Struthio camelus: one gene and its partners. The protein of the gene in region 3 interacts with the protein of the main gene of each other region in a biochemical or structural test. Links are inferred from orthologs where the notes say so. Each region holds a gene or a part of one and is shown on either strand. Other genes may lie near its edges.

The links. The genes of interacting proteins can lie anywhere in the genome.
Region 1: of the proteins of MAPT (region 3) and CASP3, one has a biochemical effect on the other in vitro, tested with the Homo sapiens proteins (3 studies listed by BioGRID). The link is inferred for Struthio camelus from reciprocal best matches to the Homo sapiens genes MAPT and CASP3.
Region 2: of the proteins of MAPT (region 3) and HTRA1, one has a biochemical effect on the other in vitro, tested with the Homo sapiens proteins (2 studies listed by BioGRID and IntAct, with this or other methods). The link is inferred for Struthio camelus from reciprocal best matches to the Homo sapiens genes MAPT and HTRA1.

What each region holds. Positions count from the first base shown.
Region 1 is NC_090945.1:51,137,873-51,147,666, forward strand, and holds the start of CASP3 (caspase-3), read right to left. Parts: upstream 4,480-9,794; 5' UTR 4,094-4,479; exon of another isoform or gene 4,075-4,093; intron 3,608-4,074; exon of another isoform or gene 3,452-3,607; intron 1,511-3,451; exon of another isoform or gene 1,487-1,510; intron 1-1,486. Other genes in the region: PRIMPOL (DNA-directed primase/polymerase protein), read left to right, coding at 6,175-6,262, 7,526-7,719, 8,933-9,024. UniProt on the Homo sapiens protein: Thiol protease that acts as a major effector caspase involved in the execution phase of apoptosis. Following cleavage and activation by initiator caspases (CASP8, CASP9 and/or CASP10), mediates execution of apoptosis by catalyzing cleavage of many proteins.
Region 2 is NC_090948.1:5,706,123-5,716,769, reverse strand, and holds the start of HTRA1 (serine protease HTRA1), read left to right. Parts: upstream 1-6,168; 5' UTR 6,169-6,189; coding exon 6,190-6,637; intron 6,638-10,647. UniProt on the Homo sapiens protein: Serine protease with a variety of targets, including extracellular matrix proteins such as fibronectin. HTRA1-generated fibronectin fragments further induce synovial cells to up-regulate MMP1 and MMP3 production.
Region 3 is NC_090966.1:4,565,486-4,575,437, forward strand, and holds the start of MAPT (microtubule-associated protein tau), read right to left. Parts: upstream 4,275-9,952; 5' UTR 4,193-4,274; intron 1-4,192. UniProt on the Homo sapiens protein: Promotes microtubule assembly and stability, and might be involved in the establishment and maintenance of neuronal polarity.

The DNA.
Region 1 (9,794 bases), on a different chromosome or scaffold from region 3:
ATTGACTTTTGATCAGAACATGGGCAGGGAAATGATGAATGATACCAAGGCAGAAATGAACAACAATAACGCTCCCTCTTAGTTACTCTGTGTATAGTCATGGAACACATTCCTACAAGTTATCTTTCACCCAGGATTCAGAAAAGGATTAAGCATTATATAAAGTTAAATCATCAGGTAGGACAAAGCAGTAAATGCTTAGACCACAAGAAACAGTCTCGACACTACAAGGTAAGAAATGTAAAGAAACTTGCTTAGCAGGCGGATTATGTTGATTTATGGTTAAAAGGAGATATATAAATAGCCAGAACAAGTAGTAAGTTTTGTTGGATGGAAAAGATGAAGATTCTTATTTAAATCTATGTGAGGCTGGCAACTATATTTGCCACCTGACACAGTCATATTATTGTCTGTTAATTTCATACTTATACTCTAGCTAATACACCTTGCAACCACACATTTTCCATGACAGTAATTACTAATGCCTCCGAAGCACCAATCTGAGCATATATAACCTTCTCTCTTTCCTTGTTTCTTAAAGACAAACTTATTTATAGTTTAGTGGCTTCAAAAGATGTTCGAGGTTGCTCTGAATACTATTCTCTGTAACTGGGAGTGCTGATGCAATTAAGAAATCTTCTTGCTCATAACATGATTCCAGGCTGTGAACTATATCATATAAACTAGCAGCACACAGAAGATTCCCTGAAAAACAAACTCCAAAAGCATCAAATAAACTTGACATCTTTTATTTTAGAAATTGACTTTAAAGACAACAGCATAGCATAGGCCAGCAACTAGGTCTAGGGTGTTGAACACAGATCATGCCAGCACTATGATCTGGATTCATTTTTCCCAACTTGGAGGTTTAATATCTTGTAAGTTCCCTATGTAAAGAAAGACAAGCTCTTACGAAACTTAAGTTAAGTACCTGAGAGCTGAATCACTCTTCAGAGATGCCTCTTTCTCTCGATTTGACTCTAGAAAAACCTAGGGCAATTGTGCTCTTGCCTGTGGCACTGCCGTCATCCAGCCCTATGCCATACCATTGGGCAAGGAGCACCAGTGACAACTAATGGGTCCAGAGTGACAACCTCCTTGACTTTGTTGCAACCTTAATTTACAACTGCTGTCCCTGATCCCAAGCCACAGAAACAATGAAAGTTGCAGAAGTGGCTAGCAGAGAATAGAATTATAATGAACTACAATAGTTTGTTTTTGAAAAATGCAAGACATTTTGCAATACTATATTATAAATATATTTTTTACTAAAGCCTTTGCAAGCCTCGTTTCAATTGCTGAAGGAATTGTTAGATCTTAGTGCATTCTATTAGTGCATCTTGGGTGGAGCTTGTCCAAGCGTCTGTACAGAAGCTGGAGAGATACTGAAGAAAAAACTGTGTATAATGCCCACTTGCTTAATATTTGAACATTACGCATTTACAAATTCATCTGCCTCATCTTCAGAATAGAATCTGTAACTTACCTTTAAATTCCATAGACTTTCGAGAACCTTAAAGCACCAATTCACCTGTACTTCTTTAAAGAACAAAAGATATCCAAAAAGAGGTACCTGTCTTATTGCTGGGCTCTCAAATGCACGCTTTATCAGCAGTACTTTTTCTGCCCTACAGCACTAACGTCAGAGTAGCAGCAGTGCTGTCAGAGGACAACGCTGATTCTAACCGAGTACTAAGAATTACCTCATCCTAGTTTAGGTAATGCAATGAGGTCATGCTCTCTCAAGTGGAATACACATTTCCCTGTAGAGGATGATCTCATGCTAGCAGGGATGGTGAGCGGCAGGGGAGAAACCTTTCAGGAAAATATGTTAAGAATTTAATTAAAGTTGTTATTCTGCTCCTTGATATTCTTTTCTCTAAAACCTTAGGTGAGAAGAGCTTTCAACTATATGGAAACTTAAAGATCAAGTAGCTGATGAACAACAGCATTTTTAATCTAGCAGAACATTTTCTGTAAGTTTTAGGAAGCTTATTTTGATAGCTCTTTCTACATTATTTTATTTGAAAAACTTGATAATATTTAAAAATCCTGTGAGGCAGGGATAGAAGGTGTAAATAAAGATAATCTTACAATCATATTTGGAAGTATTAAGCAGTAAAGAATAAGCTTCTTGAAAGGGGTCCAAAATCTAGAGCTGTCAGCAAGCTCTGAGAAATGACTGAAGTAATAGCTTATATGTATAGCAATAAAACCAAAAATATATTTTGCCCTAGATAAATGCAATTGTTCTAATTCTTTTCTTTTGACAGACTAATGATAAATAAAAAAAATGTGTTTACCCTAGTCCAGCCTCTTATTCCACCTGAACCTAACAAAATTAAATTCACATAATCTTTATCACTATTGTCATAAGAACCATCAAATTTTTATTCAAAATAATACTTGCCTGAATATTGAGCCATACGAGACAAGTTAACAATACAGAGATAAAAATAATACCAAAGCTTCTCAGACAGGAAAGGAAGCAAATAACCCATCTCTAGTTACCAACCATACCCTGAAATATGCAAACCACAGCAGACAAGAGAACACATGTTCAGTATAAGCCAGCTGCTACAAAGCAACGATCATAGCAGTACAAAAACATGTCTCAAACGGAATCCAAGATCATAAAACGTATCTATAAAGACTGCCAAAGGGCACAGTTTTCCACCTCACATGCTTGCAAAAGAAAACGTCAAACATTCAAGGCAGCTTTTTTTAATGTATATGGATAAGGAACATTGCAATACCAATGCAGACATGCAAAATTAATAGTTTACATTATATAATGTATATTGATAATTAGATAATAGCAGAAGGAAAATATATAAATTGTCTATAAGAAAAAACAAAAAAAATTTTGAAAAATATCATATTTTCTGTGTGATATTACACCATTATCAAATGCTGCTTCCCTTGATGGAAGCATGCCAATATTGTGACAGCACTTCACGCTGCTTCTAGCCTGGATGTGGTTGCTGAAAAGCACTGACACCGGGCCAGCAGTCTGATCTTCCAAAGACAAACAGATTTAGTTAATCAGCATTGATGTGTCAACTCAGCACATTGAAAATTTATTCCCAGAATACACAGGGCCTTTGCTTATTCATCCATCTATACCTATTAGCTACATTATCACCACAACCAATAACGTTAAGGAGCCTGATCGGCTGCTAGGGGCAAAGAGTATATTTTTAAGCCTGCCTACTAACCACAAGCAGAAACTCAGAAGAACTACAACTATTAGCTGGAGAATCAAAGAGTAGATTACCTATACTATCCTTCAATCTAGCAGCGAACGGACCGACAATACCTTGGACAGGGACATCTACATGCTATAAAAACTTAGGGTAACAGTTTCTGTCAAGTGAGTGACTCAAGTATGTTGATATTTTTCCCTGTATTTGCAGGATCAGAACGTTAAGAGGCAAGTAAACACTCTTACCACCGCATTCGTGAATCTGATCTCAGGATGAATCTTAGCTAACACACATCCAGCATTTTGTTAAGAACTGGGTCACTGAACTGCCGTTTTTCGGACAAGACTTGACCTGCTGTCTCCAAAGAGTTGTTTTGGTAAATCCAAGTGCAGTTTTTGGCCCTAGGTTTCAAGTCAGTTAATAGTCTATCAGAGGGACACTGGAAAGTAGTTTTTTAAGTTTAGTAATCTTTTCCACACACACACACACACACAAATGCTCCCATCAAAATAAGAAACGATTAGTTTTAAGCTTCTGGTAAATCAATAATCCACCCCAATCCAGGTGTTCCTGTCCCCCACCCCCCACGGCCACGGCCACAGCCCATCGCCGAGGCGCCGGGGCTGCTCTCGCAACGCTCTCCCCAGCCAGCGGAAAGGGCAGGGCCGGCAGCCACCTCGGGTGTGCTCGAGGTAACTGCCCCGCGGCCACCGCTCCGCTCTAACGAAACATAACAAAAGCCGCCGGCAGGACAAAGGCATCGCTTTGTCCTGCTCCTGCCCCGGCGGCCTGCGGCCGAGGGCGCCGCCGCTTTGTCCGGCCCTGCCGCCGCGCCCGGGCCCGCCCGCCCGGCAAACCCCGCGCCTACCTCCGCCGCCCTTACCCACCGGCTCGTCCCCCTTGCGCGGCGCTGCTCTCCCGACCTGGCCTCCTCTCCCGGGGCTGGGCGGCGAGGGAAGGAGCCACCGCCTTGTGCGAGGGCCTCACTGGCTCCGCCCCGCGCGGGGAGGGGACGGCGGCGGGGGAGGGCCGGGCCAACGGCGGCGCGCTCAAACGCCAACGGCAGCCGGCCGCGCGCGGGCCCGCGGCGGTGAGTCGGGGTCCGCGGCGGGGGGGGGTCTTCCCCCCCCCCCGGCCTCATCGCCCCTCGGGGCGCAGGGGGAGCCGCGCTGCGGGAAGGCGCCGCCAGGAGGGCGGGGGCGGTGAACCCGGCCGTTGGGGCCGTTGGGAGCGCGGCCGAGGGGCCGCCCGCCCTGCCGGCTCTCGCCGGGGCGGGGCGGGGGGGGCGGGGGGGGAGGAGGCCGCTGTGCGTGCGCGGCCGCGCTGTGAGGAGGAGGAGGAGGAGGAGGAGGAGGCGGCGGCGGCGCGCGCTGCTGCTGCTCTTCGGGCGCCGCCCCGCCCGAATTGTCACTCATAATTTCTTCATGTTTGGACCTGGTGATGTTCTTGTTACCACCACCAGTTACGTCGTGCTGGTAAACTGCAGGTCCTTATATTCTTAGCATAAAGATCTCAAAACCTAGTCGGAGTTCCCTGGTGTTTTATAACATTCAGACCATGATAATGTGTGAAGTGTTTAAATATGGTCGTTGCTGTAGCTTACAGAGAACCTAATGAAGTCTGTGCTGGCACATGGGTGACAAATTAGCAGTCATGCATTTTGATTGTGATTGTGCCTGAATTACACCTGCACCGCAAGTGCGGAAGTGCCCAAGCAGGCTTTAAGTTGCGTTGCGTACCAGGCCTCTTACAGCTGCCTGAGCATAAAACTTGGTTGTTTCCTCTGTACGCTGCAGTGGAAATACCGCTTGTTTGTGTTTGAATTTGCGTAACCTGGATATGTGTTTTGTTTCAGTTCTTCTGTGTGCTGAAAAATTAATGTGTTTCTGGCAGTCCAAACAAGTGGTTGATTATGATCGTAAATAAATTGCAGGGGATGAATAGCATATGAGAGGGCATCTTTCTGGTTTCAGTGATCAGAAGAAATACAGATATACTGAACTGTATCAGAGCAGGCCCTTCCACTTATGATGGATTTTATCTCCCATGGCTACGTGATGCAAACTTGGAAATTGTACAGCTTAGCAATGAATGTAGTCTGAATCCCTTCTTACTAGAATCTGAATGCCCTGCCATGCGCTCTTATGCAATAGCTGTTTGAATGTAAGAGGTAGTTCCTGCTTCATTATGAACTTTAGGGTCAGTTGTTTACTTTCTTATTCGTATATTGACCTTTAGTAGCAAAAAGCAGGGTAAATTCAAGATCAAAAACTAAATTTTCCAACCTGTCGAAATAGGCACTTGCTTGCTTTTTGATAGTCTTTCATCAAAGGGGGAAATGAAATGCAGAGTTTGTGATCTCCCGGGAGATATGTTTTCTGAATGTCTTCATATGCTATCAAAAACAGTGAAGTACAAACATGCTGATGACAAAATTTCTTTCTGGGGAGTGAAATGAATATAATTATTCCCATTCCTTCTGGTGGGAAGGAACTGAATGAAAACGGAGTCAGAATTTCCATGTAAACTCAGGTGGCTTACTAGTCTGTAGGTCTAAACTGTACATGCTCTAAGTAGATGTGTTACGTTGGGTATATTTGGTATAGGAGCTGAAGTTATTTTCGAAAGACCTGAGACATTGGACTGCTGAGAATCCATGAACGTTTGGACTGAAAAAAAAAGTGACAGATCTCAATTTAAAGTAAGAGGCATCATCCTTTGCTCAGACTCGAGTATCCCTGTAGAAATTGTTTCTGCAAAAAATATTCCTAAATAGGAAGTTTAAAATGAGTGTAGGATTACGGGAATTCTCCTTTGCCTCCCTCCTCTTTAACTGTGACCTTGTGGGAGGGTGCTGAGGTAGCGAATCTCTATTGTCCTTCTGCACTGAATTAATTTACAGCAACGCAAACAGTATCAAAACGAAACCAAAGGTTCTGCTGCTTCTGAGAAATGCTGATTGCCATCTATGATTTCTCTTTGCATTGCCAAGGAAGAAATTGATTGCATGAAGAGGAAGGGAGTGGAGGAAGTTCATAGGTCAACAGGCTGTCAAGGTCTGCAGACATGGTATATTTGGCCCCTGTAAGAGGAAAAAGCATTCTGTTGTTTAGGCTTGACCTGGGCACTACACCTTTAAACCTTTAAGGCAGGTTTAAGTGTACCATGGGCATAAATGCTGGAGTCCAGAACACTTCGCTGTGGAAAACTTGGAGGGGGACTCAGAGGATGTAGAATTTGGGCTTTGGTGCCCACAGGGATATTTAAATATTTAAATTCACCTTGCGTATCCAGTCTGTTAAAGGTATGAAGGCTTTTGAGTATAGTTAGTTTTGTTTTCTCTTTTATTGCAAGTGGCATGTTGTTAGGTGTACCAAGCGTTGGTTAAGTGATAATCCTAAATGGAATAAAAAGATGCATCTGAGTCTTTTCCACTCCTTTTCCCTCTTCTTCTGTTTCAGTTTTTTAGGAATGTTCTTAATCATTTGTAGGCATTTTGAATGGCAATAATTTTTTTTCAGGAAAAAAAGGTAGTAAAACTTGCAAATAATTATACCTCTGTTATGTTTAGGTACTTTTGTGTTTTACGTTGCTTTACAGCATGTGGATCCCTTTATGTTAAAGGTTGCATGACAGCAAGCATTACTGTGTCACATACCATTTCTTGAGAACAGACAGGGTTGCTATTTTAGGTTTGCAAGGAAGCACAGAAAACATGAGATTTTTAAAGCAGGTGAAACTATTACTGATCAATAGCTAAGTTCAGCATCAGAGAATGGAGCACTCATTTAGGATTTCAGTTCTTTTACTTTGAGACACAGAGCTCAGAGCTAGGTCACTGAAATCTTAATTTTTGCTTAGGAACTCAAGTGATTTATTACCCATATAAATCAATTACCCTGTTTTTTTTCTCCAGCCATAAAGTATTTGCCATAAAGCAGAAACCATAGCATTTTTGCACTCGTTACTAATCATGTGAGGCTAATTAAGACAGTTTTGTGTACTCTTGTACAGAGTGTAATACTGTTCTGTAAATCAAAATTAAACTTCTTGTGCATTCCCTTACTTCATCTTTTCTGTGTGTTGATCTTTGATTGAATTAATATGAAAATAAATGATCTTTACCAGAACTGCGTGGAAAGATTAAATGTTAAGGAAGGACTATCATAGTTAAATTGGGTGTTGGTTTTGAATATTGGCCATACTAGGTGAATAAATAATGAATGCTCAACAAATAAAGAATCAAAAGCAGAGGTGGGCATAGGGTATATTACAATTGAATCACAAACAGAAATTGATACTGATTTGGCTATTTGCAGTTGCTTTAGGAGAAATGAAGAGAAAATGGGAAGAAAGACTGAAGAAAGTTGAAGAACTAGCATCTCACTATGAAAGAAACCCTCTTCTTCCAGTTTACAGACCAAAGCTGTCCAAACCTTTTCAACCATCCCCTGTTTGGAAAATATTTTGTCGGCAGGCTGAAGCTTTTCACTATGTAAAAACCTGTGAAGAGGTACATCGTTTGTTAAATGTCTTTGCTCTTTGAGTACTTTCAATATTTGATTTCATTTAAAAGCCTGGTTAATAGTAAAGTCTTTAGCAGATTGCAGGATACTTTTGTTTTGAAAACCTGAAACGTCAATTAATTTTTTTGATCTTTGTAGAAGATCATGATGCACTGAAGTGAACTCTAATAAGTACTAGATAATAAGAATTGTACTCTAATAAGAATTGATATGTGATGTTAGCTTGAAACAGCAGAGGTGCTTTCTGGCAACATTGTAGTGATAGATTTATTCCTCAAGATAAGCAAGCTGGCAGGGTTAGCAGGAGAATAGTAAAGAGAGTCAGGTAGGAAGAAAGAGGAGAAAATATTGGGGGGGGAGGGGGGAGGAAAAAAGAGGTAGAAACTCAGCAAAATATATATATTTTTGTGTATTGGGTAAGCATTTGGAAGCAAAGCCTCAACAGCAAGAGGCACTATTTTTTGCTATCTATTCACTTAAAAGGATGTACACATAAATGTCCTGCTGCCACAGATTTCCTGTGCTGGCTGTGGACAAGACAGTTTTAGGCTGCCTCTAGTTCCCCACATGTGAAAAAGGCACAGTTTTTTGTTGTCCCGTGCTGCAGGAGATACGGGGTCTGTTACATTAAGAGTGTAAAATAGTCAGATACTGTGACTTTGGGGGCTTTTAAAATAACTTATTGGAAGGCTATTGCTCTCAGTCTCTTTCAGACTGTTCTGACAGTTGGTTTTCCTAAACATATTCTCACCAGCTCAGCAGTGGTTTTTTTTTGGTTTTGCCTTTGGATTTCTATTTTTGGATTTAAATAATATAGAATCTAAGGAATATTTGTTATAAAGCCATATGCAGACATCACATCAGTGAGAATATTCTTTACAGAACATTGTTTCTCCTTCCATTAAATGCGCTTGCTGTGATCAGAAAGAAAAAAGATTTTACTGAGCAAATAGAATTTACATTGATGTAATTTCATCATAGGTTTGTTAATCTCAACTTATTCAAATTTATAATCACATAACTGAAATTAGAAAGAACTTCTTAATTAAAAACAGATGTTTCTTAGGTTAGAAAAGGGTAAGTGATATACTTAGTTTTCTCATTTTTTTACTAACTTTTGATGAAATAAGTTAGTGTCAGGAACTTCTGAAAATTTTAATTAATTCTCAAAGCAACCTAACTTTTTGTTTGTTTGAAAAGGATGTTCATGTATTTGCCTTGGAAAAGAACACACAAAATGGACAGAGGTTTTACCTTGTGACAACATATTATGAGCTTTGGTTTTATTATGCGTAAGTATTCAAAAAAGACCCCTATACTTTACTGATGGTCGGTCAGTACAGCTCTGAGTAGCACAGAGCTGTAATAGTTTGCCTGAGGTTTGATCTTGGCCTTAGGTAAAGTCTACATAATGAAAAATCATTCTATTATATAGTGTTTTCAACATTTTTTTTTGAGTTGCAAACCTCCATTATTTCCTATGAATTGAAGTCCTCATGTCTAGTGAACTTAAATCTAATAGCAGTAGATTTACTTTTCCTGCTAGCTTTCTTCAGAGGATCACACTGACATACAATACAAATATATTTCCATGATTAGTGATATATCAGTTTAAATGCATATTAATATAAATGTCTGATTAACAACATACAGTTTTGCTTTGGCTTGATGAACAGTTTCAAGTATTGACAATCTGATCATGCACTGAATATCTTCAGTGGTTTTTCACAGTAAAACATCTGGTTATGAAGCAAAAGAAATCTAAGGTTTTGGTTTTTTTTTTTTTTAGAACTGTAAACTTGATTTTTTTTCCTCAACTTGAATATGGGAATAAATTTTCTCAGTTTTTAATTTAGTTTAAAAAATTATAAATAAATTCATTTTTAGTGCTTAAGTCATAACCCTGATATTTTATGCTATCCTTTTACTGTCATTTCCATCATTCCTTAAATTCTGGACAGCATTTCTGTTGGCAGTGGGTATTGTAAGACTTTGGGGGTGGGCTTATGAATCTAAATCCTAGGCCATACATCAGCAAAGTTTCTGAAGTTAGTTACAAATT
Region 2 (10,647 bases), on a different chromosome or scaffold from region 3:
TGCTGTCATGAAAGTGACTTGGATACTTTGTTTTACTGTATGTTGTCTTGCTTGTTTTTCACTTGCTGTGTATTTGCTGTTGCCCCTTTACTGAAGAAAAGATTGAATTATTCTTTATAGTATTATAATACTGTAGATTACTCGTTATAATACGATGAGTTTAAATCCGATTGTTTGGGAGTTACCTTCACGTACTCGAACTTCAGATTTAACAAAGTGGTGCATATATAGTTTAATCCAGTGGCATATCAACCACATGGAGTGGTGAGATGTTAGCACCATCTAGAGGTTATACTATAGCTTTAAAAAACTCGGGCGTTTACTTTGAAGTATACTTCTGAATGTTTTTTGTTGTTTTTGTGTGGATTTTTTTAAGCCCTTATAGAAACCATCCGCTATTGTTAAGTCACTGAACTGCTCTAGAAAAGTGTTAAAACTTTTACTCCTTGCAAACTTTGAATGGCAATGGTAGCAAATCCACTGAAGACAAAACATAACAGCTCTTCCTCCCTGCTGGTGTTGTTTACAAGATCAGTTTACTACTGAGGAAGCTGTAATGCTACAGGAAAAAGGTGAATGATCTGTTAATTTTTCCAGTGAATAATAAAAGTATGAGGCTTCTTTTGATGCTGCTGACTGTGGAAGGCGATTACAAACAGTTGAAAAACTGACCATTTATAGTCTGAAAAAGCAATTTCCCCAAGGAAGCGATGCTGTTTCCAAAACACAAAATACAGCATTAATGAAATATCAGTCTTAAACAGCTGACACTTTCATATGATAAAGCAGTGCAAGAGAAACCTATTGCAAATAGCTAGGTAGTAATGCAGTCTGGAAAGAGCATCCTTTTTTGAGTGATAAGCGAACACATGTATGTTAGAGTGCACATTTGATGCATTAGTCTCAATTACTGCTTGAAGGGCTTGCAGATATTTATTAGTATAAGGCAATAACTTTCTATACTAAGAGGTCTTAATTTGAGCTAGCTGACATTCAATTACTGAAGTGTAAAAGTTCTGGAGCGTAGCTGGGAAACTGGTTATCTAAATGCAGCTCGTCAGCAGGACCTGTAAAACGTCACATCTGAGTACCACCTTTTAAACTTTTGGACTATAAAGGAAACAAAAATCTCTGCTGGTTATGGGAGGGGAAATAATGTGACACAAAGATATGAGAGAGTGTGTGATGGAGGTGGACCAGCTTAATCAGGGCTACAGATTGTAGGGGGAGAACTAATCAGTTTGAAACTTATTCTTCCCCCTAACTGAGCTACTATTTTGCTCTTTTTTTTTTTTTTTCCTGGCCTTTTAAACTTTTAGTTTTTGCAACTGCAAGGTGCGCTGTGTTCAAAAGTCAAAATTCTATATGAAAAGGAGTTAAAAATGGACACTGTATCACAGAGCATTCCCTGTCATAATGGCAGTATCATGTGGTAAGTGAAGTAGAAATGCTAATGTGTTAGAAAGTGTGAATATTCAAAGACTATTTTTTTAAGCTGTATAGGAACTTCGTATTATAATGGAAGGAGAAATTAGTTTCTGTCCCACATACCTTCACAGTGAAATTTTGGGGGCATTAATTTTCTTAGCCAGGTTGCATATTTATTTGAGGTAGAAGAGAGTGGGGGAAAAAGTGAAAGAAAGGGATACTGGGACAGCAAGTTTTTAGCCTAAAGGTTAAAATGGAATAAAAGAATGGGTTTGAAACATTCGGTGCTATGTATGGTTTTACCCTTTTATACGTTATATTTAACGTTTTAACACCCATCTCTATTTTGGAGCACAATCTATACAACTATTTGAGGCTCCAAGCCAATAAGTTGCTGAAGTACATGGTACTTCTGCTAGGTTCCACTGAAGTAATGAAGGTTACTCCAGAAAGTTAAGCATGAATCCTATTGTGTAACTGCATCATGTCACAAATATTGGGCTTGGGTTTAGTATTTCGTTTCAGATTTTCTGTGCAAACTTTCTGTGGGGGGGGGGGGGAACCTCATTTGTAAAGGCACTATGTAATGGTGTAGTAGTAATAGTATAACATTCCTTCTTGAAGTGCTAGCTTTGACTTTTTAATTAGGGCTTTGCATTTAAAGCTTATGTCAGCACTGTAATTTTGCACATCTATACACATAGTGAACACATCTTTTAAGAATTTAAACCACTCTGTTGCACTACATTCCTAACGCTGTGATTCTCGTAATGGTAACTGAGCACATTATAGAACAGACATTACTTAGATTTCTTATAGGTGTGTTACCTGCATGTTGTCATATCGGTGCATTGTGTGTAGCTGATAAATTAGATTTTACTTCATATTTTACTGAATCATCAATGCTTGTTTTATAACCTGTCTGAAGGATAATATTTGCACTTTTCTTTGTAGAATGTTTGTAGAATGGCCAAACATGCAGGACAGCAAGGGCACTTCTTTCTTTTTCACAGAAAATCTGGGAGAAAGCCACTAATGAATGAAGCAAAATGATAACGCAGTCTTGATAAACCTAGAAAAACTTTCTGCAAATTCCAAGCTATTTGGATTTACTAAGAATATAGGCACTCCAGTAATCCCAAACTTCTATCCTGTCTTCTGGCCAGGACCCTTCTTGCCTGAGATTATAATCTGAACCCCTTTTCCTCCTGCCAAAAATACTTTCTAATTCTCTATACTTGCTGCTTGTTGCTATTATCCACCTTTTCCATGTCTTCCCAGATGTTTTTTTCCAAAGTCTGACCCTTTTCCCCATTGTTCAGTACAATGTAAGAGTCCTGCGGCAAGTGCTGCTGGCTTCTCTTGCTCCTTCCTTTGCACAGGAAACCACTGGAGATAGCACCCCATACCGCAAAACGTTTTCCTGCTCTCTGAAACTGGGTTTTCTAAGTCAGTAAATGTTCCCATGTAACCCAGGATGTATCACCTTGTTCATGGGCATCCAGGAAAACTTACTTTCAGAACAGGTAATCTAACCATACTGTCATCGCTGTTGCTACAGGAACGGCTCACCTTTTCAGTCCTGCTGCTTTCCTGTGAGCTAAAAAGGTCAGTAAATACAGCAGAGACTGAATGTTGGGGCAAATTCTGGATCACTAACAGCACTAGCAAAACTTTTTCTTTTTGGAAGAATTATCTTAGTGCTAAAAGCATAAGTATTTTTCAGATCAGTTGTTTTTCAGTATTGGTAAATGTTTTTTGGCTTTGGATAACTATTTTGTGGGGATTATAATGAGGAGGGAAAATAATTTCTAGGATTACAGTACCTGTGAGGTGTAAGGCACTTCTACACAGGTGGGTCACTAACAAATATATATTTGTCAGTAAATAAGGATATTACACCTAAAAAAAAAAAAAAAACGTAATCTCGGTTATTCTGGAAAGTGAGATATTTGCTTTCTTTTGTCTTGATCAAAAAATACGTGAAGCCTATAAAACTCATATAATAAAAATTGAATTTTTAATACTGAATAGAATATTCACATCTTTACCTGGTTCAGAAAACATGACAGCAGAGGGTCATCATGTTTTGGAAATGCTAGTCTACTTACTTGAAAGTGGACTGACAATTGTGACTTTTAGGTAAGACTTCGGGTTATGTTCTATGCTTGTGGTGCAGTTTTTTACCTTTGATTCTATTAATAAATGTACTTTCACATTTTCTGTACTAGTAGTATAAAAAAATTGACTAGTGTATTATATAGATTTTTAGCTTGTTGGTAAAGGAGGTTGAAACTGATGGTGCTGACAGATGAGTTATGGGGGAAAAAAACACAATGGGAAAGATAAATGTATACAACTGGTGTTTCAGATTTTTTATGCGACACTACTAACCTGCAGTAGTTCTTGAAGTAGTTAAATGTTTAGCTTCAGATTTTTAAATCTCTAAGCCAAACAGCTAAGCAAACATTTGGTATTTTTGTTTTTGAATTCATCTTTAATTGATGTAAGGACGTGTTCGTTCAGTTTAGTGCTTTAACTAGGTATTGACTTAGTAAATTATAACTATTCCAGACAGGCTTCTTTCAACAGGGCTTTTGTTAACATTTTTGAACGTCTGTTCGTGTCTTGCCTTTGCTCCCTAGAATGACCAATATCAAAGGATACTCAGCTACAAAGGTAGAACACATCCATGGAGAAAGGATGACTGAAGAAGGAGCTTTCCAACTGCATGCAATTTTTTCCTACCTATGGAGATAACAGTCCTGTGACTTCAAAAACCTATTGTAAGCAAGCAAACAAAGGTTTTGATAGAAAAACAAACAGCCTTTTGGGTGTGGGGGAAGACTAAACCCCATAGTAATTCATTGGTCTGAGTATTTTCCTCCTGTTTCCAAACAGGAGCTTCAGCAGTCTTTTCTGAACCTCTGTTTCTTATTTTTCTGCTGCAAACTGTCATCTTTCCTTGAAGACTAGTCCTTATTTCAAAGTAAAGAAAAATGCTGAAGCTTATCAAAAGTAGCCAGATAAGCAACGGTTACACAAATAGTAATTTGGAAGCATATTTTACCTTAGCATGTCAATATATATAAATACATTTTAAATGAATTATTTAAACTTGTAAATGTTTTCAAACTTTCTCTTAGACTTTTTTAAAAATCGCAAAAATTCTAATAATCTAAATTAATTGTTAATTGTTGCCGTTAATTGTTCCAGATGACTGCTTTAGTATTTCGGTCACTTCTCGAATTGGGTAATTCTCCTGAAATCTCTCCTCTTGCACAGCGTTGAAGTTATTGGAAAGGAGCAAATTTAAGGGGTTCTTATTTAGGGTTTTTAATTGGAATGCTGGATTCTACCTGCTCTTCCACCTTCAGTTATCAACCGAGCATTCCAGTCAGTTTGGACACTTGTATTTTTGTGGTCACTGTCTGATAATATTTCATAATGTTCCTGGGGACAATTAGGTTTGAGTTCTGACACATGATATGTTCTTCTACCTGCTTAGGTGGTTGTTAGTTTAAGATTATTCCATTTTTTGTAGGAGAAAAGATGTCTAGCCTGCGGGTCTAGATCTGTCTTCCAGATGTTTGTCCAGTGATGATAGATTGGTTTGTAGGGAGGGGAGGGAGAGACCTCCTTAATCAGTATCCTATCAAAACCTATTTATTACACCTGAGGGATGCAATTTTGTGCAAAGCTTAGTCTACCCCGAGGCAGTTTCTCGGCAGCATCTGTTCTGCAGGTTCTGGCAGTTGCACGAGTGCAAGATAAATTGGATCAGCCCGCTGACCATGGATGGGATGGAAGAGTACTCTTTTTTGGTTGGTTAACCTGTTAATTGTGAGTATCCACCTCACCCCAAAGCTGAGAGGAGCCTAGATAAAGTGAAGTGGCAGGAATGTGCAGGGAGAGAGGGGAAGAGCACACCTGTCTCGGGAGCAGCCTTCTCTTAAATCCGATTAGGCTTGGAATGGGACTGCACCCTCAGATAACAGAAATGCGGTTAACCACCAGTGATCAACTCGACTTTCAGTCACGACTTTCTCAGACCCCTCCTCTGCAGGAATACCTTGCATTCTTGCTGGATGGATGACCTGGCATTTGCATACCTTAACATGTGTTTGAACGAAAGCCCCTAACTAATTCCTTCAGGTTACTGGTGGAGCGCCCTGGCCTTCGTGTCTACTTATTTTTCTGGCGGAAAGAAATGCCATTAAGGCTTATTTCAGATTGCCTTTCGGGTAAATCCTGGAAAAGCGTTGAACTTTACTCCCTCTTTGTCAGAAGCCTCTTACGAGCGTTCTCGGTCGATTAACAGCTGCTTCACCCGTGTGTCAGGCCCTCGGTGCTCTGGAGGAGCACTGCCTTTGAAGGCCAACAACCAGAAGCCCTTTTTGGCAGCCTTCTGGGCTGCAACGAGGCGCCGAGAAGCGCGGTCGCGGGTCTTAATCGCTTCCCCTTCATTTCCTGTCCAGCACCGAGTCCTGTTTGTGAGGCACGTGAGGTGGGTGAAGAAACAAAAATGCAGTCAAAAAGTTTTTGCAAAAAAAATAAAAAAAAACAAGAAGGGGGGGGGGGAGAAAAAGATAGATGGGGCGGGGCGGGGGGTGGGCGCCCTGGCAGTGCCAACCTGCGGCGGCGCTCGCCGCCTCCCCGCCCCGCTCCGCGCCGCCCCCCCCCCGCTTAAAGCCGCGCCGCCGCTTAAAGCCGCCGCTCCGCTCCGCGCCGCTCCGCGCTTCGCCTCGCCTCGCCGCCGCGATGCCGCTGTGGGGCTGGAGCCTGCTGCTGGCGGCGCTGCTGCCCGCCGCCGCCGCCGCCCCGCCGCCCGCCTGCCCCGAGCGCTGCGAGCGGGCGCGCTGCCCGCCGCTGCCCGCCGCCTGCCCCGCCGGCGCCGTGCTGGACGCCTGCGGCTGCTGCCGCGTCTGCGGGGCGGAGGAGGGCGAGCCCTGCGGCGGCGGCAACGGCGGCGGCCCGCCGTGCGGTGAGGGGCTCCAGTGCGTCGTACCCGCCGGTGCCGTGCCCGCTTCGGGCACCGTGCGCAAACGGGCGGCCGCCGGGCGCTGCCTCTGCGCCAGCAACGAGCCCGTCTGCGGCAGCGACGCCGTCACCTACGCCAGCCCCTGCCAGCTGCGGGCCGCCAGCCGCCGCGCCGAGCGCCTCCGCCAGCCGCCCGTCATCGCCATCCAGCGCGGCGCCTGCGGGCAGGGTAAGGGCAGCGCCCGGCCCCGCGGCTGGGGACGGGGGGGGTCGGGTCCTGCCTCTCGGGCGCCTGCCGACAGCGCCGGCTGAGCAGCGAGGCAGCAGTGAAGTCGTGGTTCTCGCCCGCCTGTCAAAACCCCGGGAGAAGCAGGAAAGCAGCGGTCATGCCGGGATTCTCATGCCCTTCTTGAAAATGGGGGATAAGCAGGGAAATAACGGTTAAACCGTGGTTCCCATTGCGCTTCCCTTACCTGCAAGTGTCAGTCTTCTGTGCTCAGCGAGTTCCCTTTCCAGCTGCAGTTTGCACAGCTGCATGGGGGGGGGGGAGGGAGGAGGAGAGGTATGGCCTTAGTCTGGAGTTGGTGGGTGCTGGGGAGTTGGGGCTTTGCAAGGACTGAGGTTTGGCCGCTGGAGCGAGCTGACCCAGGGTGAGGAGTTTTATCCTCAGGGCTCTGTTGCTTAAGGTGATGCATGCCTTCTTGGGAGGGATCCCACTGCTGAAACGCAAGCCGCTCTGCAGCAGTCAGGCATCCTAGTTTATGGCTGGCATTATTAGGAGAGGACCAAAGGAAAGGGCTGTCCTTGGCTGAAGCGTGGCATTCAAGTTCAGTGAGAAACTAGAGCAAGAATGCAGTGTTTGTAGTCCGCCAAGCGTCAGGGGAAAAGAATCCTATGTCCACTTTGAAACTAAACATCTCCTTCTCTCCCTCCCTCCACCCAGAAAAGTAACCCTTGAGGAGGATGCAAGGCTCGGAGTTGGGGGAAATTAGCTTCAGAACTTGGAAAGTCTGTACCCGGCTGAGCCCCGCAGCTGTGTTTGGGGATGTCCTTCTGAGGGCATTTACAGCCAGGCTCTTTACCACAAAGAAATACCCTGGGGAAATAAAATCAAGAACACAGACGGTGTTAAAATCTGATTACAGTAAATGCAAGCAGTATGTCCATGTCAGCAGAGCAGGCAGTTGGCTGCCTTTGCCCATTTTATCAGAGGCACTGATTATGACTTCCAGCTTTGCTGGAGAGGGGGAAGCTTAAAACTGAGCAGCATATTAGGCTGATTTTATGTTTTTTTTGGAGGAGGAGAAGGGAGTGGTCATCAAGAAACAGCAGTATAGCTAGTAGTAAGGAAGTATAGTAATTTCCCTTTAGCATTATTATTTAGTTGTAGTTACTTTGATTGAATTGGACGTAACTGCATTCTCAGTGCTGCAGGACAGATTGCTAATGCTAATTACTTGTAAATCATGTAAAGACAAATTACTGGGTTATGAAACTGTTGCTCTACACAGGAAATCGCTGTACTGGACAGCCCTGTGGAGTGTGCAATCTTATTTCTAGTGATGGCTAGTACAGGGCACAGCAAGACAAAAGCAGACTGCTAGACAAAGGTCAGATGATCTGTTCCCTTCTGTTGTGCTTGCAAGATGCGTTTTTGCAGCTGCTAATACAGATTGGTTTAATTTTTGTGGGCTAAGGTTATATGTTCCTTTCTAATCACTCAGTACTGTTAGGGGATAATATGTAAAGATTAGTATGAATTAAGGCTTTATTTCTGAAGCAGTAGTCATATTTTAGTAAGTCAATGCTATTTTCTTAAAAATCGATCCTTCTATTTTAAGTTGTACTATTTCTGCACACTTCTTTCTTTAGAAACTTCTGTGCTTTTTTCCCCAGTATTTATCCCTCATCTATCCAGCAGAAGCATAGTGGCTGTGCTCTACTCGGGCACAGTCCTGATCTTGAAGCCTTAGAGATCCAATTTGTAACTCTTGTGTCATACAATCAGCTTTTTTGTACCCCTGGTTTTCCCCGCAGTTTAAAGGCTATGTTGTGTTCCAGTGGAACATTGCTGGCATTTACTGGTGAAGACAAACAATTAAAGCTTTCACGCTATAGTTTCCTGATCTACAGTACAATACAATGCTTTGTGATTTTATCCTCAATTTATAAAATCAATATTGTTGTCTCACAGTCTTTTCTGCTGCACGTTCAGCAGAAAACTCTGGGCTGTCTTTGAGCTAATGAGTAATGCATATCTCCTGTAGGTTGTAATGAAAATACATAGGATGGAATTGGCTCATTTTACAGCTTGGCACTTTGCAGATGTCCTAAACAGTGATTTTTTGTTGTTGTTGTTTTGTTACAGGACAGCTCAGCTCTAGGAGATGCATCATATCCCACTTATGTTCAGACAACCAGTTTGCCCCTGTTGCATCTCTGGTTGGGGCTCGGTTTAACATCTATATCAGTAGGGACAAAAGGAAGCTACTAGAAAAGCCAATCAGTAGTGTGCTTTATCCCTCATACGGAGCAAACTTTGCTGCAAGCAAAACTTTCTTCAAATGTAAAGAACCTAAAATAAAAAGAAATGTGGAATGGCCTGTAAAGCTTTCCCTAGAGGCAGGTTGAACCACTCTTTATTTAGAAAAGGCACTGCCTAATATGTGACTCCTTGGAGAGCTGTTACTTTTTTATTTTGGCTTCATTTTCAACAGTGCTTTTTCTACCTCCTGATGGAGTTATCTTTGATAAAATATTTTTATATGTTCATAGTAACATATCATAAGCAGAATGAAACCACAGAAACCCCAAGCTCTGCTTTGCTAGATTACCTCAGCAATTCACAGAATCACAGAATAGTTGAGGTTGGAAGGGACCTCTAGAGATCATCTAGCCCAACCCCCCTGCAGGGTCACCTAGAGCACTGACCCCTCAAGCAGGGTCACCTAGAACACTACCCAGACAGCTTTTGAATAACTCCAGAGGAGGAGGCTCCACAACCTCTCTGGGCAACCTGTTCCAGTGCTCTGTCACCCTCACAGGAAAGAAGTTCTTCCTCATGTTCAGACAGAACTTCCTGTGTTTCAGTTTGTGCCCGTTGCCTCTTGCCCTGTGGCTGGGCACCACGGAGAAGGGTCTGGCCCCATCCTCTTGACACCTTCCCTTCAGATACTTGTACACATGGATCAGATCCCCCCTCAGTCTTCTCTTCTGCAGGCTGAACAGGCCCAGCTCCCCTCAGCCTTTCCTCATAGGAGAGATGTTCCTGTCCCTTCGTCATCATAGTAGCCCCCTGCTGGACTCGCTGCAGTAGCTCCATGTCCCTCTTGTCCTGGGGAGCCCAGAACTGGACACAGTACTCCAGGGGAGGCCTCTCCAGGGCTGAGGAGAGGGGCAGGATCCCCTCCCTCGACCTGCTGGCAACTCTTTTCCTAACGCAGCCCAGGATCCCATTGGCCTTCTTGGCTGCAAGGGCACATTGCTGGCCCATGGTCGACTTGTTGTCCATCAGGACTCCCAGGTCCTCCTCGGCAGAGCTGCTTTCCAGCAGGTCAGCCCCCAGCCTGTACTGGTGCCTGGGGTTATTCCTCCCCAGGTGGAGGACCCTGCACTTGCCTCTGTTGAATTTCATGAGGTTCCTCTCTGCCCATTTCTCCACCTGTCGAGGTCCCTCTGAATGGCAGCACAGCCCTTTGGTGTATCAGCCACTCCTCCCAATCTGGTATCATCGGCAAACTGCTTTGCTTTGTCTTGTGTTTTTAAGTATTCTTATCGGAAGAATGTAATGGTGGGCCATTTCTAGGATTGTTAGCCCTGTTTCAAATAATATGGCTGCCAGAAGACCCTGAAGATGCAAATATGAAGTACAGCTTTTTGTCTTTTGCAGTTTTCATCTATCATAGCTCATTCTGGAGTGCTGCTTTTGTCTTTCCTTTAATGTTTCTCAAAGCATCTGTTCAAATATAGGGTGTGCTTATGAAGGGATGAGGGAGAAGTAGGGGACAAGGTTGCTCTGGGCCTATGTGTATACAGGGGTGATGTTTTCCTATGTCTTAAAAAGTCTTAACAAGCTTAAAATTTCACAAGCCTTCCCAGCCTCGCTCCAGCGTTGGACCTAAACTCTGGTGAGAGAATGGCTCCTGGCAAGGTGCAAATGTGTCACGCTGAGGTGGTCAGCTGCACTGTAGTGATGCATTCTGGGGATGCAGGATCATCCTGCAGCCAGCACTGCAAGCC
Region 3 (9,952 bases):
CCTCTCAACATCACCCAGATAAAGGACCTGTGAGCCTGTCACAAGTTCAGGGCACTTCACTATGAGCTTCCTGCTTTGATTTTTCAGCCCTACATCTACACACAGCCAATACAGCCTGGGAAGCAATAAGCCAACCTGCCAGCTGACTGACTTCACCAACCAGCAGGCTAAGCAAACTGGAAAATGCTGGGAGCTGGGTTGAAGCCAGTGCCCTGGTTCTTTTTTGACTAATTCATCAAGTGTCAGCATTGTCAGGTTGCTACAGCTAAATTAGTAGCGCTCCTTCAAAAGGGGCAGACAGAGCAAACAAGCCTCATCAGTGCACTGGGCTGGCAAAATAAGCTTATTCTGCTCAAGACAAAACTCAAATCGGCAACTTCTTCCAGCTTCTGAATAAGTGTTCCTACTGGGAAACAAGGGAACGGCCACCCTCAGCACTTCCCCACAGACACTGCTTCACGATCCAATTTTCAACGCTCCACAAACCAAAAGGGATTTGTCTGGAAGTTTGGACATAGACACAACACAGCACCAGCATCTCAAACAGCAACACCAAACACCCATACAGGCAAACGCAGGGACTCCAACAGGCAATGCAGTTACAGTTGCGTTGCTGTAAATGCCAGGACAATTTGTTACTCTGATGTTGACGAGCATAAGCCTTCAGAAGAAGCTGCGAAGATAAACCACAGCCCAGCTCAACTGCATTTTAAATGTGTCCTTCCCCCAGCCATTTCTAGCAGCCCCATGACACTCCAAAGCCCAACTTCCAAATGAAGATTTAAAGGTCTACTCCCTGCTACTACACTGTAAGAAAAACCATCCTACCAAGCCCCAGCGAGCACACGGGGAACAATGTGGTACCCAAACCCTTCCAAACTCTGTGGCTGGCGACACCCTAAGCGACAGAGAAGGCAACGCAACTGAGGCACGCAAATAGGCAACGAAGAACGGGGGTGTTCACAAAGAGGCAGAGGAGCACAAAAGGCAGAGGATTAGGAAAGCCACCTTACTGGCCCGCTCCAGGTGACCCTGACTAGATGCACTGGGCCCAGCATCAACTTGGAAAAAGCTGTTGCAATGTCACATTTCCCTCCCTTCTACCCTGAAGAAGGGAAAACAGATTTATCTCCCCACGGCTTTCAAGGAGGGAAGTGAGAGCAAGAGCTGCAGCACTGCTTTTTCAGGACAGTTTAAGTAAGGCTTGCTTGGATGAGCTGGGTCCTGCTGAAATTGCAGTTTATTAAGCACAGAGGGAGGAGGACTGTTTAGGCAAAGGGCCTTGGAAAGGAAGAGGCTGGAAGCAGAGGGCAGCAAGGCTATCTGAGACCACAGGAGGAACTGACACAGAAGATTAAATTAGAAGCATGATCTGAAAATACTTAAAGCAGCATTTTAAAAAGAGTAAATGAGGCTTTTAAAAAGCCCATGTTTTTGCTGTGTATATGTGCAGAGCCAGATCTGCATTCCTGGGCTACAGCCCCAACAAGCAGCACTCATCACCTGCATCTTCACCTGCAGGACTGGTACCTGTCTCCTCTTTGTGACACTTTTGGCCTCATCCCAGCTAATCTAGCCTTGATGAAGTAGAAACATCCTTATCTGTGATGCCATCTGCCCCACAAGGTGGAGATTTATCTGCTGAGAACTGCAGGTCTGTTTCCTTCTGGAATAGCTAAAAGTGCTCTCCACCCAGGAGAGCAAAATATCATCTCAATGCACCTGGAGAGCATGTCAGCTGGGACCTTTGCAACAAGTTCACCTGAAAGCCTGCAGACCACCAACAAGCTGTTCCAGAGCCGGGCTGAACAAACAGCCCAGAGAGGGGCACAGAGTCTTCATTAAAGGCTTCAAACAATGACAAGCACACTTCACACTTTGTCATTAAATCAGATATACCTGTTTTAGTCCAAGTTTCTCAGGGTTCAGCTTCTCGCCATTAGATCTTGCAATAAACTGAGCTCATTGATATTTCATTTTAAGCTCTGCCTGTTCAGGACTTAACCGTTCTACAATCCTGTTATATTGCAAAAAAGCCTTATGGAAGAAGATGGAGTCTCAAACGACCAAGGCCATGGTACCTCTGAAAGAGAAGTCATGTTGTCCTTGAGCACAAGAGCTGGGTCTCAAACAAAAAAAAAAAAACACAAACACACAAAATAAAAAAAAAACTAAACTACATCCCACCTGCATCTTAATTCCAAAGGCTTAAAGCCTTAATTTCCAAGGACGTTCAGCAGCATGAGGTACTTCTGTTAACAACTGGGGACTGCACAGGGAAGCATGCCAAAGCCATACCTCCTTCCAAATATCATTACTCTATCAAGACCAAGGAGGAGGAAATCCAGGGGAATAATTCACACCTGATACAAAATACTGAAAAGCCTCAACCTTACTTTTCTCCTTACATGTGCAGTCAGGAGGAAGGAAAAAAAAAAAAAAAGCATTTCACACATCACAATGGAACAAAGCATAACTGGGTTAGATTATTTCCCATTCTTAGAAGAAATGGCACTTTAACATTCCCTCTCTCAAGAGCAGCCTGTAAATATCCAACTGAGAATTGACAAGCCTGTTTTCATTGTCCACCTTGAGAAAAAACACACACACAAAATGAGCTGCATACGGTAAACCACTAGATTAAACATCCCAAATCTGAGACACTGGCAACAAAGGTAGAAAACCTTCACAGAGGGCAGCCATTGCTTGGCAGAACAAATCAGTGTTTCTCAGTAGTGAATTTTGTCCCATTCATTCAGACACGCTTTAGACATCTGCCTAGATCCACACAGATAAATGCAGGGCAACTAAGAAATACGTTGCATGCAAATTGCTGAAGTGACAGCTTAGCTCATCTCAGCTGCTCCTTCCAGCGAGCCAGTTTCCAAGCAAGACCAGCCTCGCGCTGCAAATGGAGCTGCACCTCGCGTGGTGCTACTGCAAGCAAATGGAAGGAGAAACTCCCTCTAGAGCGATGGCAGCTGCCCTCTCCCAACCACCAGCAGGACTGCTTTTCGAGGTGTTAATAACCATCTTCCCAGCTGAATCCTCCCTTACACTAGCACAGCAGACAAAACGCAGGCAGAGATCTCCATCCCTCACCTGAAGTAAGCCCTTATCGCTCTTAACGGGCTTAATTGCTCAAAGCCAGGAGGGCAGGTGTGCCACGCATCGCGCCTGGAAATACCTGCCGAGAAAACTTCCCTTTCCCCCCTGTGAAGTTAAGACTTAAAACAAAGAGATGCCCAGCAGTTAAAGGGGAAAAAAATACCCCTCTCACAAGGCAAACCCCGGGAAGGGGGCCAGCCTCGCGCCCCGGCCGGAGCGGTTTTGGGCACGGAGGGCACGCGCAGCAGGGGGGAGCGCTCCTGCCCCAAACCCGCCGGGGTGGGCACCAGCATCCCCAGCCCGGCTGAAAAAAAAGCCCACCTTTGAGTAGCGTTAAAACCCACCTTAGGCGAGCGTATCGTTAACGTTTTCCCCTCTGCATCTGGGGCGATGCAACAAAGCAAGGCAACTCCGGGGCACCGTGACCTCAATAGCGCGTGGCACCCCCAATTTTTAGGCTAAACAGGGGCAGCTCTGATTTCTGACACACCTTCTCCTCACGGTTTTGGTTTTTTTTTTTTAATTACTATTATTTTAATTACAGCTGGTCCCTGCCTCCCAGGAGGGCGGCTACAGAAGATGGCACCGCGCAGCCCACCCCTCCTGCCGCAGCCCCGCCGGCACAGCCCCCCAGCCCCACCTGCCGCAGGGAACGGGGGGCAAAAAACGCCAAAAAGGAGGGAAAGGGGGAAATCATAATTCAAAAAAAGCCCCCCCCCTCCCCCGGCCGCCCCCCACGCCGCCGCGCACCTGCAGCCGGGCGGCAGCGCTGCCGCAGGGGCCGCCCCTCGCACTGCTGCAGCGGGCAGGCTGCAAGGGGGCGGCCCCCTCGGATAACCGGGCCCGGTAACGGGAGGGAGAGGGGACACGCCCCTCCGCGATTTTTTAATTTTTTTTTTGGGGGGGCCCTCAAACGGGTTCCCCACCCCCGCCCGTTTTCTGCGTTTTAGCACGGGGACAGCGAAACGCGCGGCTGCCCGAGCGGAGAGCGGCGGCCAGCCGCGCAGCACCTTTCCTCCCCCCAAATATACCCTCCCCGGCCCCGAAGGCTCCCTCCGCCGGTCGGGGGCCCGGTGCCGCCTACCTGCCGCTGCAGGAGAGTCCGCACCGGAGCCGCGCGGCGAGTGACAGCGGCGGCGCGGGCGGGGCGGGGCGGCGCGAGCCGGGGGCGGGGCGGGGGGCGCGCGCGAGCTCCGGAACCTTCGCCGAGCCGGGGGGGGGGGTGGTGGGGGGTGGAGAGGGAGGCAGGGCGCATGCGCCGAGTGGCGCTCACCCCCCCCCACACACACACACAGAGAGCCCCTCCGCCAGCGCTCAGGCCGGCGCATGCGCGGTGAGAGGTTGGAAGGGGGAGGGAGGGGCCAGCGCCGTCTTTTGTCTGCGGGAAGCGGGGGCGCGCCTCGCCCCGCCCACAGGGGGCGCCCGCGCGCTCTCCTCCCCCCCCCCAACCGCCATTTTACGCCGGTGGCCGCCTCAGCCCCTTCCCGCGCTGCCGCCTCCCCCGGACACCACCTCGGGGCAGGGCGGGGGGGACCCACACCTGTGGGAAGGGGCCGACAGGTGACACGTTACCCCACCTCCTGCCCCCAGGTGATGCAAGGAGCTTCGGGGCTGCCCCACCATCCAATGCAGCCCCACCTGAAGGGGCAACTCATGCTCCCCGCTGCTCCCAGAAGATCCCCCTCCACCTGCGAGGGCAGCCAGGCGCTCCAGAGGCTTATGGACACAGCAGAGATCCCACCATGGCCTTCCTGCCTTGCGTTACACGGTTACTATGCTTGGTAATTGGATTTAGTGGAGAAACTGCAGGAGGGATCCCTTGTCAGACAGGCTCAAGGTTTCGTTTTTTCCCCCGGGCATCATTCAGGTGCAAATCAAGGGCAAGCGTCTGATCTAAGGACAGGCTTCTGACACAGGTCAGGAAGGGAAAAGCAGCACAAGAGAGAGAAAGAGAAACAGATGTGGAGCCTGCAGCACCAGAGGTTTAAAGCATACTAGACAACTACTGGTTGGGAATGGTCCATCTCGTTTTGGAACAAAGGTCTCAAGGTGTCTCATAGCCCTATGGAGAGCCAGAGCCCTTATGTGTTACAGCAGCGTTAATACCTGCACGAGTACTGTCAAATGATGAACAGTGAGCGAGGTGGAGATCTGGATTTCTGAACATGCGGCCATGAGGTGGTTTTATCAGGTCAGTAGAAAGGGGCGAGACATAAAAACCTTTTTTTCCCCTGTCCATTTTTAACTGGCTTAAGAATGCCATGAATTGACATTATGCTGTAAATTGGTTGGAGAATTTCCCCAAGGTAAATACATGTTCTGTGAGAAATATCACCGCTTTGGGAACTGTAAAATGAAGTAAGCTATGAGGGGATCCATCCTTGTGAGACAACATAAAACAAGCTGAATTTGAACTTACAGTGCAAGCAGCTAGAGTCCAATTGTGGAACAGCAGCTCTTCCTACAGGCGGTACAGATGTACCAGGAACACAAGACTGACTGCACTGGCAATCAGCTGCTCAGCTGCTCCTCCTCTAATATGACCATTTCTTCTTTTGAGGAGGGCAAAAACCAGAAGACACTCCCTGCCTTAACGTCCCAACACAAGTTATTCTGGATAATCAAATCTGGACTTCTTGAAGCCCTCTCAATCAAAGCTCACATTCGCCTGCCTGACTTTGCTTGGGTCACCAAGCACCGAGTCCCTTTTGGATCCAAGAAGTCACAGACTGGCAAGTATCATTAGCCAGTCCCAACCAATGTACAGGCACATCACTCTCACCACATTATGGCCATGTAGAAGATCTGCCAGCAAAGGCTAGCCAAGAGTAAGATGCATCAGCTGGTGGCTTACAGTACTGCCAGCCTGGAGGAACACAACAGCAACGACTCCCCCATAGTTCAGTCCTCCAGGACTGCTGTTGTACAGCCAAGCACCTTCCTGCCCTTAAGCCTAGTGGTACAGCACTTGGAAATAAAAAGATGCTAAGAGCACCATAAGCAGGACTGGCTACAGAAGGGCACCATGAGCACAGACTTGCTGTTTAACACTGTGTTCAGAGAAGCAGGACCCCATGGATATTCTTGGTAAACAAGATTACTGCAAAGAAATAATCAAATCTACACCCATATTTTCCTCCTTACTAACACCCTGCAGGGCCTCAGCGTTGGCTGAATGTCCATGTCACAAAGAGGTAGCAATTGGGAGAAGAATCCCTTGTTCGGGTGTCCTGACTCCCCACATCACACATGCTAGCTCGCTGCAAATCCACCTCTTTGATGTGAAACCCCACCGCGCAGCAAGGTCTGCATTTTGTACTACGTCTCAGGTCGGTGCCCAGCAAACCTCCATCTCCACTCCTTGCACCACAGAGGCGCACCCCGTTCTGCATGGCATGGGCGCAGGTTGCTGCTGCAGCAATACTGAGATGTTACGGGAACTGCTGGAGCAGCGCGAGTCCTGAAGCGCTGCTCAGCGCTCTGAGCCCCAAGTGGAATGAGCTCACAGTAATTGCCAGGGCTTCTCACCCAGCCAACAGGAACTGCAGAGAAACACTGTAGCCATTTCTTACCTGTACGCACAGCAGGCTGACAGCTAAAGTAGACATTAATTACTGCATGGAGCTGTTCTGGCTACTTCTTGTTTATAGGGTATTTTTGCAAGGAAAGAGAAGTTTCTCCTGCAACTTTAAACTTGCTCCAGGCTCCTTCTTTCTTCCCTTTAGGCTTGGACTACTGCTAGCTGGAAACAAGCTACTATGTTTTCCTTTAAAATGTGATGCTTAGCAACTTTGCATTAGACTTGTAGCTTCCATAGCTGTTTCTTCATCCACAAAACAGGGCTCATCTTCCTTGCAGGTGAGTTTTGCAACTTGTTTCAGAACTGCCTCAAGGTTTCCTATGACAGGTGCTACGAAAGCCAAGACATGATTTCTCAGGCCTTGCCTGGAGTGGGAATTGACCTGCAGAACTGCAGCTGTGTGACAATTGCTGGGTTATAAGGGTTTTAAGACTAACATCCCCAAGGCCTTGTTTGTCTTCAAACTGCTTCATTTCAGTCACTTAATTCAGATTAAGGGTGGCCTTTGCAAAACCATAATGAGCCTAGCTGAAATAAATACTCAAATTCTGCACTAGCTTAACTCCATTACAATACCCACGCCTTTTGCAACTTGGCCATTAAAGTTCACCTAAGCAAAGAAAATGGGTTAATCGCTTTCCAAATGGTTTGTAGCAAGGAGACAGGATTGATGTTTCTGAAACAATTCCAGATGCTATCGCCTGCTCATAAACCACAAGATGATCCCTTCCTAAACAAGGAAGCCCCAGGCAGACACAGGCCCCAGACTTGCTTCCCAGGACACAGCCACTAACGCGCACATGGCACCAGACCAGGGGGCCAGCAAGGTTTCAGGAGGGCTCGCTGGGCTTTGAAGCCTCACCATGGAGATCTCAGCAGGGAACTGGGCATTACACAAGCAGCTTTCCCAGCCGTGCCTGTATGCTGTTAGCAACTGCAGGAAAGCGGGCATTACCCAGGCCGGCTCTGAGCAGAGCCAAACAAAGCTGTCGCCTTCTGCAAACCTTTCCCAGCAGCTCCAGGCACGAGGGGGGATTAGAGCACAGCTGGCTCCGTTCCCCACACATATTTGCTACATACATATTTTGCAGTTCTCTCCAAGCAAAATCAGCTTACATTTCATTTTCACAGACAGGCAAAATGGAGCACGATACCCCTCTGTAAACCCCGCTGAGGCCAGTGGGGCTGCAAAGACAGAAATCAGAGAAACACCCGCGGCATTGCAATGGTGCAGGCAGCAAGCAGGCCGTGACTCAGCAGAAAGAGCCAGCCGGCAAGGTCCTCTCCTCTAGGAACAGCACTGAGCACCAGGAAAGCAAATTTATCACTTTCCTTCCGATCACTTTTGCAAGTGGAGAGACTTGACAAATTGAGGTTAACCTCTTGGGGACCAGAGACCAGGTAATACCCTTACACTCACCTCTGTGTTTCCCTGCACCCCAGCTGAAAAAAGATTATACCTTTTTCTTCTCAGCTGACTAATGTGGAAGGCATGCAGAGCCCAACACCTACCAACAGAAGACAAGACCCAATACCCCTAAGTTTTTTTTTTTTGGTAAGTTAACCCCTTTTCATTTTGAAACTTTCTGCTACAAGGGACATTCCAGATCATGTAAAGCTTGTGTACCCGTAATGGGCTGAGTTGTCTGGTAACTGGTTAAGGAGTTACCGAAAGCATTGACTTGTTACGTGCATGAATTTATCCTGTGAACTGAAGCCATGAACTTGAAGCTTACACTCACTTGGACTTGGTATCACAGGAGGGCAGTGAGCGTTTGGGGAGAACTCTAGATCTTGTTTCTCCTTATCCAGGCTACAGCTCCTCTCCTTCTGCTTAGCAGCACAGCCCTGGGGTATTTACAGCCTCCACCCAAATCCCAGCACCAGCTCATGGGGCTGAAGTCTGGTCACTGCCCTGGCATTAGCTGCCCGCTTTGTTGACAAACTTCACAGAGAGGCTAGTGATCGAAAGGGCCTTTCCCTCCTGGAGGGGGGCCACCACCGCAGCTCTGCCAGCTCTATGGTGAGACAAGGAACGTCACACTCTGGGGTGAACCAGCCTGCTCACCAAACACCACTGTGTCTTGGGACTCCAAAGCCCTAAACTGTTCCTGCTCACATCACAGCCTGATAGGGGCCAGCTGTGGAGTGCCTGGCCCTGAAGCCTCTCCAGCTCCTGCCAGGGGATGGCAGTCTTAGGAGAGAGCAGAGATGCATGTAGGTACCAGCATAGCCTTTCCTCCCTGAGTTTAAGGCGGAGAAAGAGTTCAATCTTGCTCCAAGATAAAAGATTGCATTATGCAGTGACACTAATAGGCTTTGCAGCAGAGTTATCTCATGCACTCAAATACAACGGCACCAGGAAACCTCCGGGCTGCAGCTCAGCAGGACACACCAGGGGAAAGACTGGTTTTGTCCTAGTTCTACCCTAGGCCCCTGCAATCAGCTGCTACTTGTTACCTGCTGGGGCTGTACAGGGCCAGACCAGAGCCTGTTCTCACTAACAGTGGCTGGCTGTCCTGATTTCAGAGGGACTTCGAGAGCCATCTGCTGTTATCAGTTCACATTACAGCATCAGGCAACACCTCTGCCTGGCAGGCACCCAAGACACCCTTCAGCTTCACCTTTCACTCTGTTACTCTCCCACTAGCCCATAAACTAGCAAGGACAGCAGAGAGCATAAAGCATCTTTTTTCTAGATTAAAACACTGCCGGGAACACAAACATTTTCAAAGAGCTGAGGTCTTTGCACAGAAGGACCCAGGAGTTGCCACAGGGAACACACACACTGGCAGCAAAGGTACAACCAGAACAAGTCCAAACAACTGTTTTAAGTAGAGATGATGTTTCAACATGCCAGACAGGGGCAAGTCCTTGGGCAGAGGCACAGTTCACACAGCACCTGCCCACCTGCAGAGGCAACAAGGAAACACCTAGTGCTTATACCCGCTCTTGGCAACATCAGTCATCACCACCACCAAATGCCATGAGACGCAGCAGCTGCCTACCCTGAGGGCCTCACCTCCAACACAGCAGCACATTTCTAACTGCATCCCCCTCCCAAGGCCAGGAAGGGCACTCCAGTGCCCTCTCCTCTTCATAAATAAAGCTAGCCTCAAACGAGACTGCTAGAACTCACAAGACAAGCTGAAGTCCTTCAGACAAAATGGATTTACCATCTGGCAGGCACACACCAAGGTCTCTGGAGAACCAGGAAAAATCTCTCCACACACCCCCAGCAATTTCCTTTTCCTATGGAACAGC